Linked DNA regions of Callithrix jacchus. The protein of the gene in region 1 purifies or fractionates together with the protein of each later gene. This does not show direct contact. Links are inferred from orthologs where the notes say so. Each region holds a gene or a part of one and is shown on either strand. Other genes may lie near its edges.

Region 1 (4,151 bases):
AGTGGAGGCCGGAAATCCAGGTGCCTGCAGTAAAGTTTCTTAACCTTCGTGATTGCAAAAAGCAGGAGCTCAGCTATCTTGCTTTATGCACAGGCGGTATTTACTATTAAGGGAGAAAAATGGAAGTGACTTATTTGCACCTTAGCCTCAAAGCTCTTGAAAAGTTAACCAGCCGTAAGTGGTTAGAGCCTTTGTCTGGGGGAACTTAATAAAATGGCGTTTTCTCGACTCTTACGGAGACTCTGCATATTGGTCAGCTCAGTATTAACTTATTTGGTGAGCGCTGTTCCCAGATCTCCCGCCTGCACTAGCAAGGCTTGCGGCGAGATGATGCATCTGACTGCCTGTCTGCCCGCCCCGGGAGGGTTTAAGATTTGAGAGGTACGTTATTCATAGGGACAGTTAAATGAAGACTCAAACAAGTCCTGGTGTTGAGGCAGAACTGCGCGCCGATTGCCTTGGCTCCAACGCCTGTTGAGCCGCAGGGCTCCGCTAAAGCGTCCAACTAAATACATGCAACGACGTCCCCCGAAGAGGGCCAATATGGCGACGGTCTCCTCTTGGCACAGCCCTCTTCCCTCCCTCATGATGGGCGGCTCCAGTAACTCCCATTGGCCAACTAGGAGGCGGTGCCAGGCTTACTTCGTCTCCTCATTGGATTGAATAACTGAGGGAGCAGCCAATTCTCCTCTGCCCGCTCCAAGTTTCCGCCCTCAGAGTTAATTCGGCGTTTAATTGGCTTTTAGTTCACGTCAATATGCGTCCTTTCCTGTCTCTTTTCAGTCTTAATCCAATCATAACTTCCCTGGCTGCCCGCCTGATTTCTGATTGGTTTTAATCAGCTTCATCCTATTATATTCCTGCCTACTTCTTACCTCTCCTCCCACTAGGATTTTGCCCAAGCACATCCCGGACTCTGGTTGGCCGTTGTTCTGTCATTCCTATCAAAGTTTTCCCTATCCCTACGTCTCAGGGAGCCCGCCTGCCGGTTGACTGGTTTTTTTTGAAGCCAATCACTTTCAGTTCCCGCCCATCTTCACTTCCTGCATCTTTCATTGGCTTTTAATACTGAGAGGACAGTCTTTTTGGGCGGACACCAGGCACGCAACTTAGTCATACACGCCTTAGAGAGCAAGCTTTTCTTGCCATTGGATTATCTCACCGTCTTTCTTCTGCAAGTCCCTCCTTTCCCCCTCCCTCATTGGGCGGGGCAGCAGCGAAGGGGCGGAGCCTAGGTTGGGCTTGTGGCGCGCTGCTCCCTCCTCCTTACCCCCCCCCTCCCTGTCCGGTCCGGGTTCGCTTGCCTCGTCAGCGTCCGCGTTTTTCCCGGCCCCCCCCAACCCCCCCCGACAGGACCCCCTTGAGCTTGTCCCTCAGCTGCCACCATGAGCGGTAAGGATGAGTCCACTCCAAGCTTAGGGGTGGGAGGGGAATGAGGGGGCGCGCGCGAGGGCCGACCGGGCGATCCCCGCCGGGAGGGGGGGGCGGGCGGGAGGCGGCGGCGGAGGCCTAGGTCCCGCCCGGGGCGGAGGGAAGGGAGGGAGACGGGGCAGTGACGGGGCCTCCGAGGAGGAGGGGGATGGGCCGCCCGCCCCGGGGGAGGGGGCAGCGTGGCCTCGCCCGCCCCCTGCCCGCCCCGGCCACGGGGGACGGGCCTTACCCCCCACTATTCGGCCGACAGCCTAAGGCTCCTCCCGCCGTGGGCTGGAGCCGCGGGGGCGGCCCGAGCAGTGAAGGCCCCGCCCGGGCCAACCGCCGGCCTGGTCCGCCCCTGCTCCAAGGCCCTCCTCCCCCCACTTTCCGTAGATTTCCCTTCGCCTCCCCCCCACCGTCCCGCCCTTTCCACGCCCCTCACCCCGAAACCGCCCTTTCCCTGAGGGCCCGCCCTCCGCCCCGAAACCTCCTGATTACTAATCCGTAGACCCCTTTAGTCCCTTATCAGTATTCACAAATGCTTTCCTACTCACACTTTTTACTTTTTTTTCCCTCCCTTTTCACTCTCCTCTTGTTACTTTTCACACTTGGATTTTTCTTTCTCCATTTCTTTTTCTTTTTTTTTTTTTTGAGTTGGAGTTTTGCTTTTGTTTCCTAGGCTGGAGTGCAATGGTGAGATCTGGGCTCACTGCAACCTCTGCCTCCCAGGTTCAAGTGATTCTCCTGCCTCAGCCTCCCGAGTAGCTGAGATTCCAGGGATACGCCACCACGCCCGGCTAATTTGTGTTTTTAGTAGAGACAGGGTTTCTCCATGTTGGTCAGGCTGGTCTTGAACTCTCGACCTCAGGTGATCTGCCTGCCTTGGCCTCCCAAAGTGCTGGGACTACAGGCGTGAGCCATTGCGCCCGGCCTTTCCATCTCTTTTAACCTTAATTTTAGCAAGCTTTCCATCCACCCACATGTTGTTTTTTGCCTTACCTGTTCTTTTCTTTTGTTTCCCCCAGGATACTTTTTCTCATTTTGAAACTCTTTCAACATGCCTACCATCCTTCACATTTCCTATTCCCAAAGCACTTTTTGAATGTTTTCTTAGTTTAATTTTGTGCAAGGGAGAAGTGAGGCCCACTTTTGGCACCATTGAGCCTATTTCATGTCTTGCATGCCCTGCAGCTCCCCTCTGTCCTCTAATCCATTTTCTTTATACTGGCGCCTTTTGCCTTCCTGTTAGTCATTGCTGTTTCATCATAGCCTCCTTTTATCCTTCCTACTTCTTTTCTTCCCTCCAGTTTAAGTTGCTTGTTTTTTAATACTTTCAGACCAAGATCACTCCATGGATGAAATGACAGCTGTGGTGAAGATTGAGAAAGGAGTTGGTGGCAATAATGGGGGCAATGGTAATGGTGGTGCCTTTTCACAGGCTCGCAGCAGCAGCACAGGCAGTAGCAGCAGCACTGGAGGAGGAGGGCAGGTAAGTGATCATCACAGAGTGGGGAAGGTGTTCAGAGGATGTAAATATTATTAGATAGTTGCCTTACTCTTCACAGAAAGCTTTTTAGGGAGGGACTAAACCAGTTTATAGGTAAGGAAGTAAGCACAGAGATTGGAGATCCCCAAAGACAGGAGTTTCAGCAATACAGATAGGTCAGCTTTTTGTTTCTGCTTTTTGCTCCTTGTCTGCACTACGTTGCTTTTTATTTGTTGTATACTGCCCCCTAGGCTGGCAGCTGGGTGTCACTAACTCCTTTCCTCTCCCTTATTTTCGGCCAGGAGTCCCAGCCATCCCCTTTGGCTCTGCTGGCAGCAACTTGCAGCAGAATTGAGTCACCCAATGAGAACAGCAACAACTCCCAGGGCCCAAGTCAGTCAGGGGGAACAGGTGAGCTTGACCTCACAGCCACACAACTTTCACAGGGTGCCAATGGCTGGCAGATCATCTCTTCCTCCTCTGGGGCTACCCCTACCTCAAAGGAACAGAGTGGCAACAGTACCAATGGCAGCAGTGGCAATGAATCTTCCAAGAATCGCACAGTCTCTGGTGGGCAGTATGTTGTGGCTGCCACTCCCAACTTACAGAACCAGCAAGTTCTGACAGGACTACCTGGAGTGATGCCTAACATTCAGTATCAAGTAATCCCACAGTTCCAGACTGTTGATGGGCAGCAGCTGCAATTTGCTGCCACTGGGACCCAAGTGCAGCAGGATGGTTCTGGTCAAATACAGATCATACCAGGTGCAAACCAACAGATTATCACAAATCGAGGAAGTGGAGGCAACATTATTGCTGCTATGCCAAACCTACTCCAGCAGGCTGTCCCCCTCCAAGGCCTAGCTAATAATGTACTCTCAGGACAGACTCAGTATGTGACCAATGTACCAGTGGCCCTGAATGGGAACATCACCTTGCTACCTGTCAACAGCGTTTCTGCAGCTACCTTGACTCCGAGCTCTCAGGCAGTCACGATCAGCAGCTCTGGGTCCCAGGAGAGTGGCTCACAGCCTGTCACCTCAGGGACTACCATCAGTTCTGCCAGCTTGGTGTCATCACAACCCAGTTCCAGCTCCTTTTTCACCAATGCCAATAGCTACTCAACTACTACTACCACCAGCAACATGGGAATTATGAACTTTGCTCCCAGTGGATCATCAGGGACCAACTCTCAAGGCCAGACACCCCAGAGGGTCAGTGGGCTGCAGGGGTCTGATGCTCTGAACATCCA
Region 2 (10,380 bases), on another chromosome or scaffold:
CGTCTCAGAAACTGGTTAAGTAACTAGTTAACTGGTGGCTAGAAAACATTATGGTTTCCAAGTAGATTAACCCCCTAAGAAGACAATTTGCATTAGGAGTTTTATTTATTTCTTTTTTAAGACTCAAGGTCTCACTTTGTTGCCCAGGCTGGCCTTGAAATCCTGGGCTCAAGTGATCCTCCCACCTCAGCCTCAGGAAGCGCTGAGACTACAAGAGTAAGCCATCACATCAAGCCCACCGGGAGTTAGATGCTAACTTAGGGACTTAAAGTAATCAGTCTCCAAAAGGAGTACAAGTAAGCATTTGGGAATATACTTTAAAAGAAGACCAACTTCCTATTTAAAAGAGTGATGATATACTAACTACTCATAATGGGAAATACAGCTTCCTAAAACTTACTACCAGACAGTTCAAATAAACTGAAAGTAAAGAAACAGGAGAAAGGAATATGTGATAGGAAGGGGGAGAGAAAGAAAGGAGACAGACACAGAAGCAAAACAAATATGGCAATACTTTCAAAAGGCCCATTAAGTGTGAAATGACTACACTGTGCATATGTTTATCACCGTATTAAACAATGTAAAGCTAACACAAGTGAAGCAGTTCAAAAGTCAGAGGACCCTAATGGCTCAATCACTGTGGAGGGCTAACCTGGCTGCACCCCAGACCAACCTAATCACATTAATTTCTGGGGCTGCAATTCAGGCATCAGTATTTTGTAAAACTCCCAAAGATATCTAAAAGTACAGCCAAGACTGAAAACAACTGGCCAGGCATGGTGGCTCATGCCTGTAATCCCAGCACCTTTGAGAGGTCGAGGTGGGAGGATCACTTGAACCCAAGAGTTCAAGACCAGCCTGGGCAACACAGGGAGATCCTGTCTCTACAAAAAATTTTCAAAAAAATTAGACAGGTGTGATGCTGCATGCCTGTAGTTCCAGCTACCAGGGAGGTTGAGGTGGGACTGCTTGAGCCTGGGAGGTAAGGCTGCAGTCAACTATGATTGCAATACTCTAGGGCTGGGGCACTGAGCAAGATGAAAAGAAAAAGAAAAAAAAAAGAAGAGAAAGGGAGAGAGAAAAAAAGAGAAAGAAAGAGAAAGAGAGGGAGAGGGAGAAGGAGAGGAGAGACCATCGCCCTAAACCTTGGGAGTAAAAAAGGCAATAAAAAGATAAATTCGGCTGAGCGAGATGGCTCCCACCTATAGTCCCAGCACTTTGGGAGGCTGAGGCCGGCAGATCACCTAAGGTCAGGAGGAGTTCAAGACCAGCCTGGCCAACATGGTGAAATCCCGTTTCCCCCGCTAAAAATGCAAAAATTAGCCAGGCGTGGTGGCAGGTGCTTGTAAACCCAGCTACTTGGGAGGGTGAGGCAGAAAAATGGCTTGAATCCGGGAGGCAGAGGTTCCAGTGAGCTCAGATCATACCACTGCACTCCAGCCTGGGGAACAAGAGCAAGACTTTGTCTCAAAATAAGATAAATTCAACACATTTACAAGTTTTCCAAACTGCAAAAAATTCTCATTTGAAATGTAAATAATGAAATACAGTCTTTGAGTCAAAAGGTCTTTACCATTATCGCCAATTTTAAGCTGATTAAAATGTTAACAACAGACCCTCTTTATGATTGGTCTTTGATACTTACCTGTCTGATCTATGATACAATTTGCAGTAGCAACTTATCGAGACTTAGATTATAAGCACCTTATAAATTATAAGAATCCAACTATCTACCATCTTAGTTTTACATATGTAAGCACTACCCTAGGTTTCACTCACTTTCAGAGTTAAAAACAAATATTCCCGGATGCCAAATACACCACGTAAGTGTCAAGGTGACACAACCTAAAATACTTTGTTCCTGAGAAACTGGATTCAGTCCAATTTCCCATCACCAAATTACACATTTTAGAGAGAAAAAAAATCCAAAAATTCTAAATCTGACTTATGATCAAGTGTATGCTTGGCATATGCAAACAGCATCACTCTACAAGTAGCTCAAATGAATACATCTAGATATATTTGTCAACTGTTTCAATTTCTCATTTTGCAACAATTGAGACTTCATCAACTGTTGAACAAAAAGTCCAAAATTTGATATACAGAACTGTATTAAATGCTGTGTTATGGCCACGCACAGAGGTTTACACCTGTAATCCCAGCACTTTGGGAGGCCAAAGTGGGTGGATCACCTGAGGTCAAGAGTTCAAGACCAGCCTGACCAACGTGGTGAAACCCTGTCTCTACTAAAAATACAAAAATTTGCCAGGTGCTGTGGTGGCACATGCCCGTAATCCCAGCTACTCGGGAGGCTGAGGCAGAAGAACTGCTTGAACCTGGGAGGCGGAGGTTGCAGTGAGCTGAGATTGTACCACTGGACTCCAGCCTGGAATCTCCATCTCAGATGGAGCAAGCCTCCATCTCAAAAACAAACAAATAGAGCAAGCCTCCATTTCAAAAAAAAAAGAAGAAGAAATGCTGTGTTATTCTGGTCTGTCCTTTAACTGTAGATAACAAAACATTTTTTGTCAGGTTACTTTTATACACAATTAACAGTCATCTCAGAGCCACCATCCATCATCGATCTAAGCAAAAAAAAAAAAAAAAATTATTCGTAACTACACAGTCTTCCAGGTCAACAACACCAACAAAAAGAAATCCAAACATATATAATGAGTGCTGAAATGCCGATTAAAAGATGCTTAAAGAACCAGTCACTCTAAAAAAAAAAAAAATCACTGAATTAAAAATGGAAAAAAGGTTAGGTATGAACTAGAGAGGGACAAAATGAACTAAATTTAAACATCAGCAAAACCTGTTTTCACCAAAATAGACAAAAATTTAGACAAGCCTAAATATGCATTTTACATATAATGAACCCTGCAGATTCTATAGGGTTAACCGCCCTAGTAGAGGCCTCAGTAATTCACACCTCAATTAGAATGGTGTCTAATGATGTTACTATAACACTGGCTCAATCAGAAAGAAACTGCTTCCAAGTGGGAGAGCTGCAGTGTGACTGGGCAGCACAAATTAGGTTAATGCTTGCTCCTTAATTTGGGGGGAAAAGAAAAACTGAAGAGGAACACAGAAAAGGAATTCACACACAATCAATCGCTCGACTAAAATGTAGCTTAAGAGGCCTTAAAATAGAAATTCCATTTGACCCAGCAATCCCATTACTGGGTATATATCCAAAGGACTATAAATCGTTCTACTATAAGGACACATGCACATGCATGTTCATTGCAGCACTGTTTACAATAGCAAAGACCTGGAACCAACCCAAATGCCCATCGATGATAGACTGGATTGGGAAAATCTGGCACATATACACCATGGAATATTATGCAGCAATCAAAAATGATGAGTTCGTGTCATTTGTAGGGACATGGATGAATCTGGAGAACATCATTCTCAGCAAACTGACACAAGAACAGAAAATGAAATAACGCATGTTCTCACTCATAGGTGGGTGACGAAAAATGAGAACACATGGACACAGGGAAGGGAGTACTAAACACTGGGGTCTATTGGGGCAATAGGGAAGGGACGGGGGCGGGGCAGCTGGGGAGGGATAGCCTGGGGAGAAATGCCAAATGTGGGTGAAGGGGAGGAAGGCAGCAAAACACACTGCCATGTGTGTACCTATGCAATTGTCTTGCATGTTCTGCACATGTACCCCAAAACCTAAAATGCAATAAAAAAAAAAAAGAAAATGAAGCACAAGTTTTCTAAAATAAGATTTGCTGCCTCCTAGTATAGGCAGAATTGCTTCAAGCAGCAAAACTATCATAAAAAGTCAATCATCCACATAAAACTTATTCCAAAATATTTCAAAGTGAAATATTTCTCAGCACAAATTTTCATTAAGTCTGAAAAACAGATTTGCAATTTGTTTTTTTCTAAACTCAAGATTTACACTGAAGGCACTGACCTAAACAGAGCCATACACCCCCACTTCAAAAATAAAAAACCCAAGATGCCATACTTTTTAAAAACTCACCCGAAAACCTGGAAAGCAAGGAAAAAGCCACTTCTATTAATAAAGTTAAATATTGTAACAATTTTATCTAAAGAAGCTTTTGGTTTTAATTCCAACAACTTAAGCCTACATAATTCATCACCATCTTTAGATCTAAAGCTACTCCAAATTATAAATGCTTGGCCTATCTCTATTACATTTGTTCTTTAAGGAACCCATTTAAGTATACAAAATCATGACAGCATTATGGAAGAAACATTAATTTTAAAAATCCGTGTTTTTAAATGTTAATCATTTACAGTTTAGAATGTTATCTACTAATCACATCAGAACTTTCCAATATAGACAGAATAAGTCCTCAGCATAAAAAAAAAGTTGCACTTTAGAATTTCCTATATTTCAACTAAAAAATATATATCTAGTCTCGGCAGAGTATGGCAAAGTAATTTATGAAATCCACCATAAAAATTATTCAAATGCCATGTTCTAAACCTAATTACAACATTATGCATTTCATTTTTTTGAGACTCTAATAAATGTTTTTTGCCAGCAAAAAGTAGTGAATCTAATTCTTAAATACCCGAGTAACCAAGCTGCTACTAAGACTAAAAGGATTCTAATTCCGACAAAAGTCAAAAGGTTATTAACAAAAATTAGCTAAGATTGTATGTCTGCAGAAAGTCAACTCAGTCTAATTCCCTTATTATCTTGTTATATTTATTATTCCTAAGTAACTGGCAATTTCACCTTAAACTACGGTGCAAAAACTAAATGCATTAAGAAAGTAATTTGGAAATAAATGTGTGTGTGAGTGTGTGTGTGTGTGTGTGTGCGCGCGCGCGCTTTATTAAAAACAAATGTACTTAGGTTTTTGAGGGAAACAGCTATTAATATTCAGCAGGGCTTTGTAAAACCTCTGCACCAGCCAATAAACCTTTCAGGTTAACTAAACATACTCGTGTCTTTGAAAATCTAGTTTGAGAGATCCTAACAACAGTTTGGGGCAAGTGATGGAGCCACCGCCCTCCACCCTACACCCATTTCACTCTCAGTACACGTAGTGCTAACAGTAAGATCAACTGTGCCTTTTATTAGGGAGCATGTTATATAGGGGGAAGAAGGGGTTCAGTTAGGTGCTAAGAATGTGTCCGGCATACCACCGTCACTCTCAGTACTCAAAAACTAAACATATCAAAGACAGAAGCGTAAACTGGCATTGACACGACTAGGAAGAGAAAGTAAAGGACAAAGAGAAAACAGAAATTGGCTGGAGAAAATAAATTAAGACAAACAATTTACAACTTTCATTTAGACCGTAAGGCAACACACTCCAGCCGACCCAACGCGCTCAGCCCGGGCGACCAAGAAACTACTCCAGAACAACAAAGAGGAGCGGCGGCCGCGGCAGGAGTCCCGTCCGAGTTTAACTTGATTCTCGCACGAGCTGCTAGCGGAGCTGGGAGCTGGAGGGACGCGAGGCACCGCTACCCTGCATTCACCCAGCCCGCCCGGGCCGGCTCGTCAGGTAGCCACGGTCGCCCTCCCAGCGGATCCGCGCGCTCCCCGCCGCCGCCGGGAGCCCGCCCCGGGGCGGAGAAGCCGCGGGCGGGGTGCGCGGGCCAGGCCGGGGGAAGGGGAGGGGACATGGCGCGGTTACCTGGGCTCGGGCGGTGGCGAGGGGAGTCCGCTCTCCCGCCGCTGCTGGTCCGCGGACGCTCCGGGCCCGTCGCTTTCGCCCGCGGCCCGGAGAGCTCCTCGGCCCCCGCCCCGAGGCTTCCCGGCCAGGCCGCCTCTCCTCAGCGCTGCGCCGCTGCCCGCGCCGACCGGACCGCCTCGAGCTCCCGGGCAGCCCCGCGGCGGGGGGCCTCTCTCGCGAGGCACCCGGCTTCCCTCACCCGCTCCCACCCGCTGGGCGACTGCGGAGCCGAGGGGAGGGCGAGAAAGGCCTCCCGTTGAGAGCAGGAGGGCGCGAACGCAGGCTCCGCCACCCGAGCCGCTCCGTTACCGCAGCGGCGACGACGAGCAGGGCCGTGTTGTTGCTGCCAACTTGTCGAGAGAACACTGAGCATGCGCGCGCGGGGACCACATCCGGGTAATTTCAGGGTTTGGCCCTTTTCCCCCGCAGCTTTCCTTTCTCCCGGCTGCCCCCGCCTTCCGTCCCCCGCCCCCTGTGAAGGGGAGGGTCGCTCTGCGCAGGCGCCTGCCGGGCAGCGCCAGCCGGCGGGAGGCTCAGAGTCCCGGCCTCGGCCTGGGCCTGGGCCTGGGCCGCGATGCGGGCGGAGGGCGAAGGCCTGCTTGAGGGAGTGGTCGCCAGGGACACTGGCATCTCTTTGCAAAAAAGTACCCAAGCTGCGCAGGAGAGCTCGGCGTTGAGTGGGCGTCCAGTAAGTGTTTATAAACAGTGATTAGCCCGGCCTTTGTTGGTTTTTTGTTTTGTTTGGTGTTGAGGACCTGCGTAGGCACAAAAATTGGCCTTCAAGAGCCAGTCTACAGCTCGGAGGAGAACGTGGCTAGGTTGTAGCAGTTCACTTCGGTAAGAAACAGACGCTGGCCGCACCTTCCCTCTCCGGCAGCCCCGAATCACGAGCCCCAGAGGTGTTTAAACTCGAGAGACGCACAGGACAGTCAAGGAATCCCTTACTGAAGAGCCTTGCCAGGCGTTCCAAGTGTGGGTGGTTTTGTTGGAGGAGATACAGAGCACTCTCGGAGCTGGAGGGGAACTTCGACTCCTACTACACACCTATTAACTAGGTTATCTGTTTGTTCGGTGGGGAAAGGCATAGGCTCTGCTTTTGGCTTTATATTTCTTTTATTTCATTTTTTACAAGACGCATGCATTTCTTTTTTTAATTTAAAACGCATTAATGATATATTTTCACCAAGCAGGAACTACTTTGGGACTAGTTTTAGTCCCTCCAAAACTAATGATGAGCCAGTTCTAAAGTCATTTCTTAGGTCACGTAGCCCAGAACTCTCTACACCCACCGCATGCCTTCGCCACATAGATCCTCTGTGCCTCATTCTGTCCTCCACATCCTGGGCCATTTCCCCCCCACTTTTTTTTTTCTTTTAATGCCAGAAAGCCCCTAAAGCTTCAAACTGGTGTTCTCTTACCACTGGGGTTTATGAAGACCAGTTTTAAGGGATTTCATTTCCATATCTTCCGTTGCTATATGTTCTGTTTTCTAAAATTGCCCAGCTTGAGAAGGGAGCTAAGGACACAGCACCTGTTTTCAAAACTACCCTTCTCCCTCCCACCTTACAAAAGAAAGTCAGAATTCTTACTCATTATTAAGGTACACTGGGTCAATGCAGAACCTCCCCAGCAATCCAAAAGGGGCAATTCAAATATCGGTATCTATGCTGAGAAAGTAAATGACCTTAGGTGAAGGGTATTAAATTATTTTGCAAGTCGGATAGTTTTCCAATCTTTTCTGTCAACAAAACTGAAAGTAGATCTGTCAGCTAATAGATTACTAAACATGATTTAATAATAGTTCAATATGTGATTCTTAGGTAATACACTTCAGAAGAAGTTTTTTAAAAGTTGAGACATTGTTATAACTAAACTTCTTCCATTCCGTCTGTATTAGTTATCTATTGCTGTATAACAATGTCAGCACAAATATAGAAGCTTAAAACAACACATATTTATGATCTTACAGTTTCTGTGGGTCAGGAGACAAGGCATGGCTTAGCTGGGTCCTCTACAAAGTGAGGCTGGAACAAAGGATCCGTTTCCAAGCTCATGTGGTTGTTGGCATCATTCAGTTCCTTGCAGGCTGCAGGACTGAGGGCCTCAGTACCTTACAGGCTGTTGGCTGGAGACCCCCTCTGTTCCTTGCCATGTGGTCCTCTCCATAGGGAAGCTAACAATATGGCAGCTTGCTTCTTCAAAGCCAGCAATGGGGAGAGTCTCAGCAAGACACTGGTTTCAATCTTATGTAACATCATCACATACACTGTGTCACTCATACCCTGTCACTTTTGCCATACGTTGCTGGCCAGAAGCAAATCACAGGCACCACCTACACTGCCAAGGGGAAGGAGACACACAAAGGCATGAACACCAGGAGGTGGGGATCATATGGGGCTTCTTTAGATTCAGTCTACAATGCTATCTATTTATTTAGGCAAATGGCATTCTCTATAAGCTCAGCCTCTTCTCAGAATTTCTCTTCAGGTTCCCTTCACCTTTTTACTTAAGGGAAACCCCAGCTTTGCCGTGGAACACTGCTTCTCCTTCCACCTCTCAAGTAGTGGCAACTGTGTTTTCAGCTTTCAGCCTCTCAGTGCCTGGAAGTGGGGTAGGTTTCCTTCTTGCTTCTCAACATTGCTTTCAAACCATCCCCCTCCTCCTCTAAACCAGCAGCTTTAAATCTTGCTATCCAGTACCTCTATCGCTGACCTCACTCCCCTTCATCTCTGCACAATTTGCTCCTGTCAGTCACTCTAATGCCACTTCTGTCCTAGTGCTAGGTGGTTATAAGATCTTCCTAGTACCCTGGCCTCTCAGTTCCTTTTCTTCTTCTCCAGGGATCTCTCATTGCTTCAATTTTGTGATCTTACAGTTGCTCTGAGTCAGGAATCAAGGCATGGGTTAGCTGTGTCCTCTACAAAGTGAGGCTGGGACAGAGGATCCGCTTCCATGCTCATGTGGTTGTTGGCAACATTCAGTTCCTTGCAGGCTGCAGGGCTGAGGGCCTCAGTCTTTTCCTGGCTATTGGCTGGAGACCCTCGCTGTTCACCATGAACCTCAGGTAGCCCCTTAATGCTGTTCAGCAGTTCTGTCATACATCCCTGCTCCACTCTTCTGGATTTTGTACCTTCTCTGTCCTCTAACTTGCACATACCCTAACTCAGCCACTTACTCCCATGGTCATAATCACATTAGCCTTATCAAACTGCAACTTCTTCATTATCTCGGTTTCAAACATCTCACACCCCATTCACCACCTCAGTCTTCCAGGTCACTCCCTGTAGTACTCTAATTCCAACAATTCTTGAAGCCTCATATCCGCTCTCACCCAGCCTCAACCCCTGGCCAATCACAATCACTCTTATACATGCCCTCAGCCCCATTGCCTTTCTCTCCCTTTGTTGTGCTTGCTTGTTTGCAAAGCCATGATCCTGATTCAAGCTAGCACTCATGCATCTGAATGTGACTAGGGAAGAACACAATCTCACTGAGTACTTTCACTTTAATTTCATCACTATGAAGCTCAGGTAGACCCTTTGTGCTGTCCAGCAATTCTACTTCCCTCCTCCATTCTTCTGGATTTTGTACCTTCTCTGTTTAACTTGCATATCCTCCCCTCGATCATCCTCAATTACTACCCTTGTTTGAGAAAATTGAAGCAATAAGAGAAAAACTTCCACAGAATCTCAACATCACCCACACCCATATACCAGCCTCTACTCTGCCTTTCCCATCCTCACATGGTTGAATTGCCATGCTCCTAGCTAAAGGAGCATTGTCACCAAGATACAGATCAAGGTCCTATCTTGACTAATCAAGATCCTCACTGTCACTTCAGCAATTATCCCCCTATTCTATATTATCAATATTTCTCTACTGGGTCATTCTGGTAAGCTTACAAGCAGCTGTGATTTTTCCAGTCCTACAAATTCTTCTCTTTAACCTATATCTACTGTCAGCTATCACCCATTTCTCTAATTCCTTTGCAACGAAGCTTCTAAAAGAGTTTTCTATGCTTTGTCTGCAGTTTTCCCATTCCACAACAGCAGAATACATACCATACAACACCATTTATATAAAGCTCAAAAACATGTCATGCATGATACATATGTTAAGACTCCATATATATGTAGTAGAATCATTACACACCAGGTTACATACGTGGCATATTATAGATCATCAGCTGAGTGGTAGGCTCCCACCCTCTCTTAAACTCCATTCATGCTTTTGTCCTTACCACTCTATCAAAACTATTCTTATGAAGGCCAAAAATGAACTTCACATTGGCTAAACCCAATGATCTAGTCTCAGTTCTCATCTTGATTGATGTATCTGTAACAGCTGACACAGCTAATCACTTAATTCACTTTTTTTAACCATATCCTCTTGGTTTTCCTCCTTCATTGATGGTTCCTTCTTCCCTGTCTTCTTTGCTGGGTTCCATCTCTTCTTTCAGACCCCTTAATCAGGGCTCATTCTTTGAATTCTTTTTTTTTTATTTTTGAGACAGAGTCTGTTGCCCAGGCTGGAGTGCAGTGGTGCAATCTCGGCTCACTGCTACCTCCACCTCCCAGATTCAAGCAATTCTCCCCACTTCAACCTCCCAAGTAGCCGGGATCACAGGTGCCCACAACCACACCTGGCCCATTTTTAGTAGAAACAGGGTTTCACCATATTGGCCAGGCTGGTCTCCAAC

Evidence for each region.
Region 2: the proteins of SP1 (region 1) and SMAD4 purify together in Homo sapiens (affinity purification with western blotting; 4 studies listed by BioGRID and IntAct, with this or other methods). This does not show direct contact. The link is inferred for Callithrix jacchus from reciprocal best matches to the Homo sapiens genes SP1 and SMAD4.

What each region holds. Positions count from the first base shown.
Region 1 is NC_133510.1:66,168,782-66,172,932, reverse strand, and holds the start of SP1 (transcription factor Sp1), read left to right. Parts: upstream 1-1,351; 5' UTR 1,352-1,385; coding exon of another isoform or gene 1,386-1,392; 5' UTR 1,393-1,579; coding exon 1,580-1,763; intron 1,764-1,835; exon of another isoform or gene 1,836-2,281; intron 2,282-2,750; coding exon 2,751-2,902; intron 2,903-3,201; coding exon 3,202-4,151. UniProt on the Homo sapiens protein: Transcription factor that can activate or repress transcription in response to physiological and pathological stimuli.
Region 2 is NC_133514.1:94,254,217-94,264,596, reverse strand, and holds the start of SMAD4 (mothers against decapentaplegic homolog 4), read right to left. Parts: upstream 6,049-10,380; 5' UTR 5,643-6,048; intron 1-5,642. UniProt on the Homo sapiens protein: In muscle physiology, plays a central role in the balance between atrophy and hypertrophy. When recruited by MSTN, promotes atrophy response via phosphorylated SMAD2/4.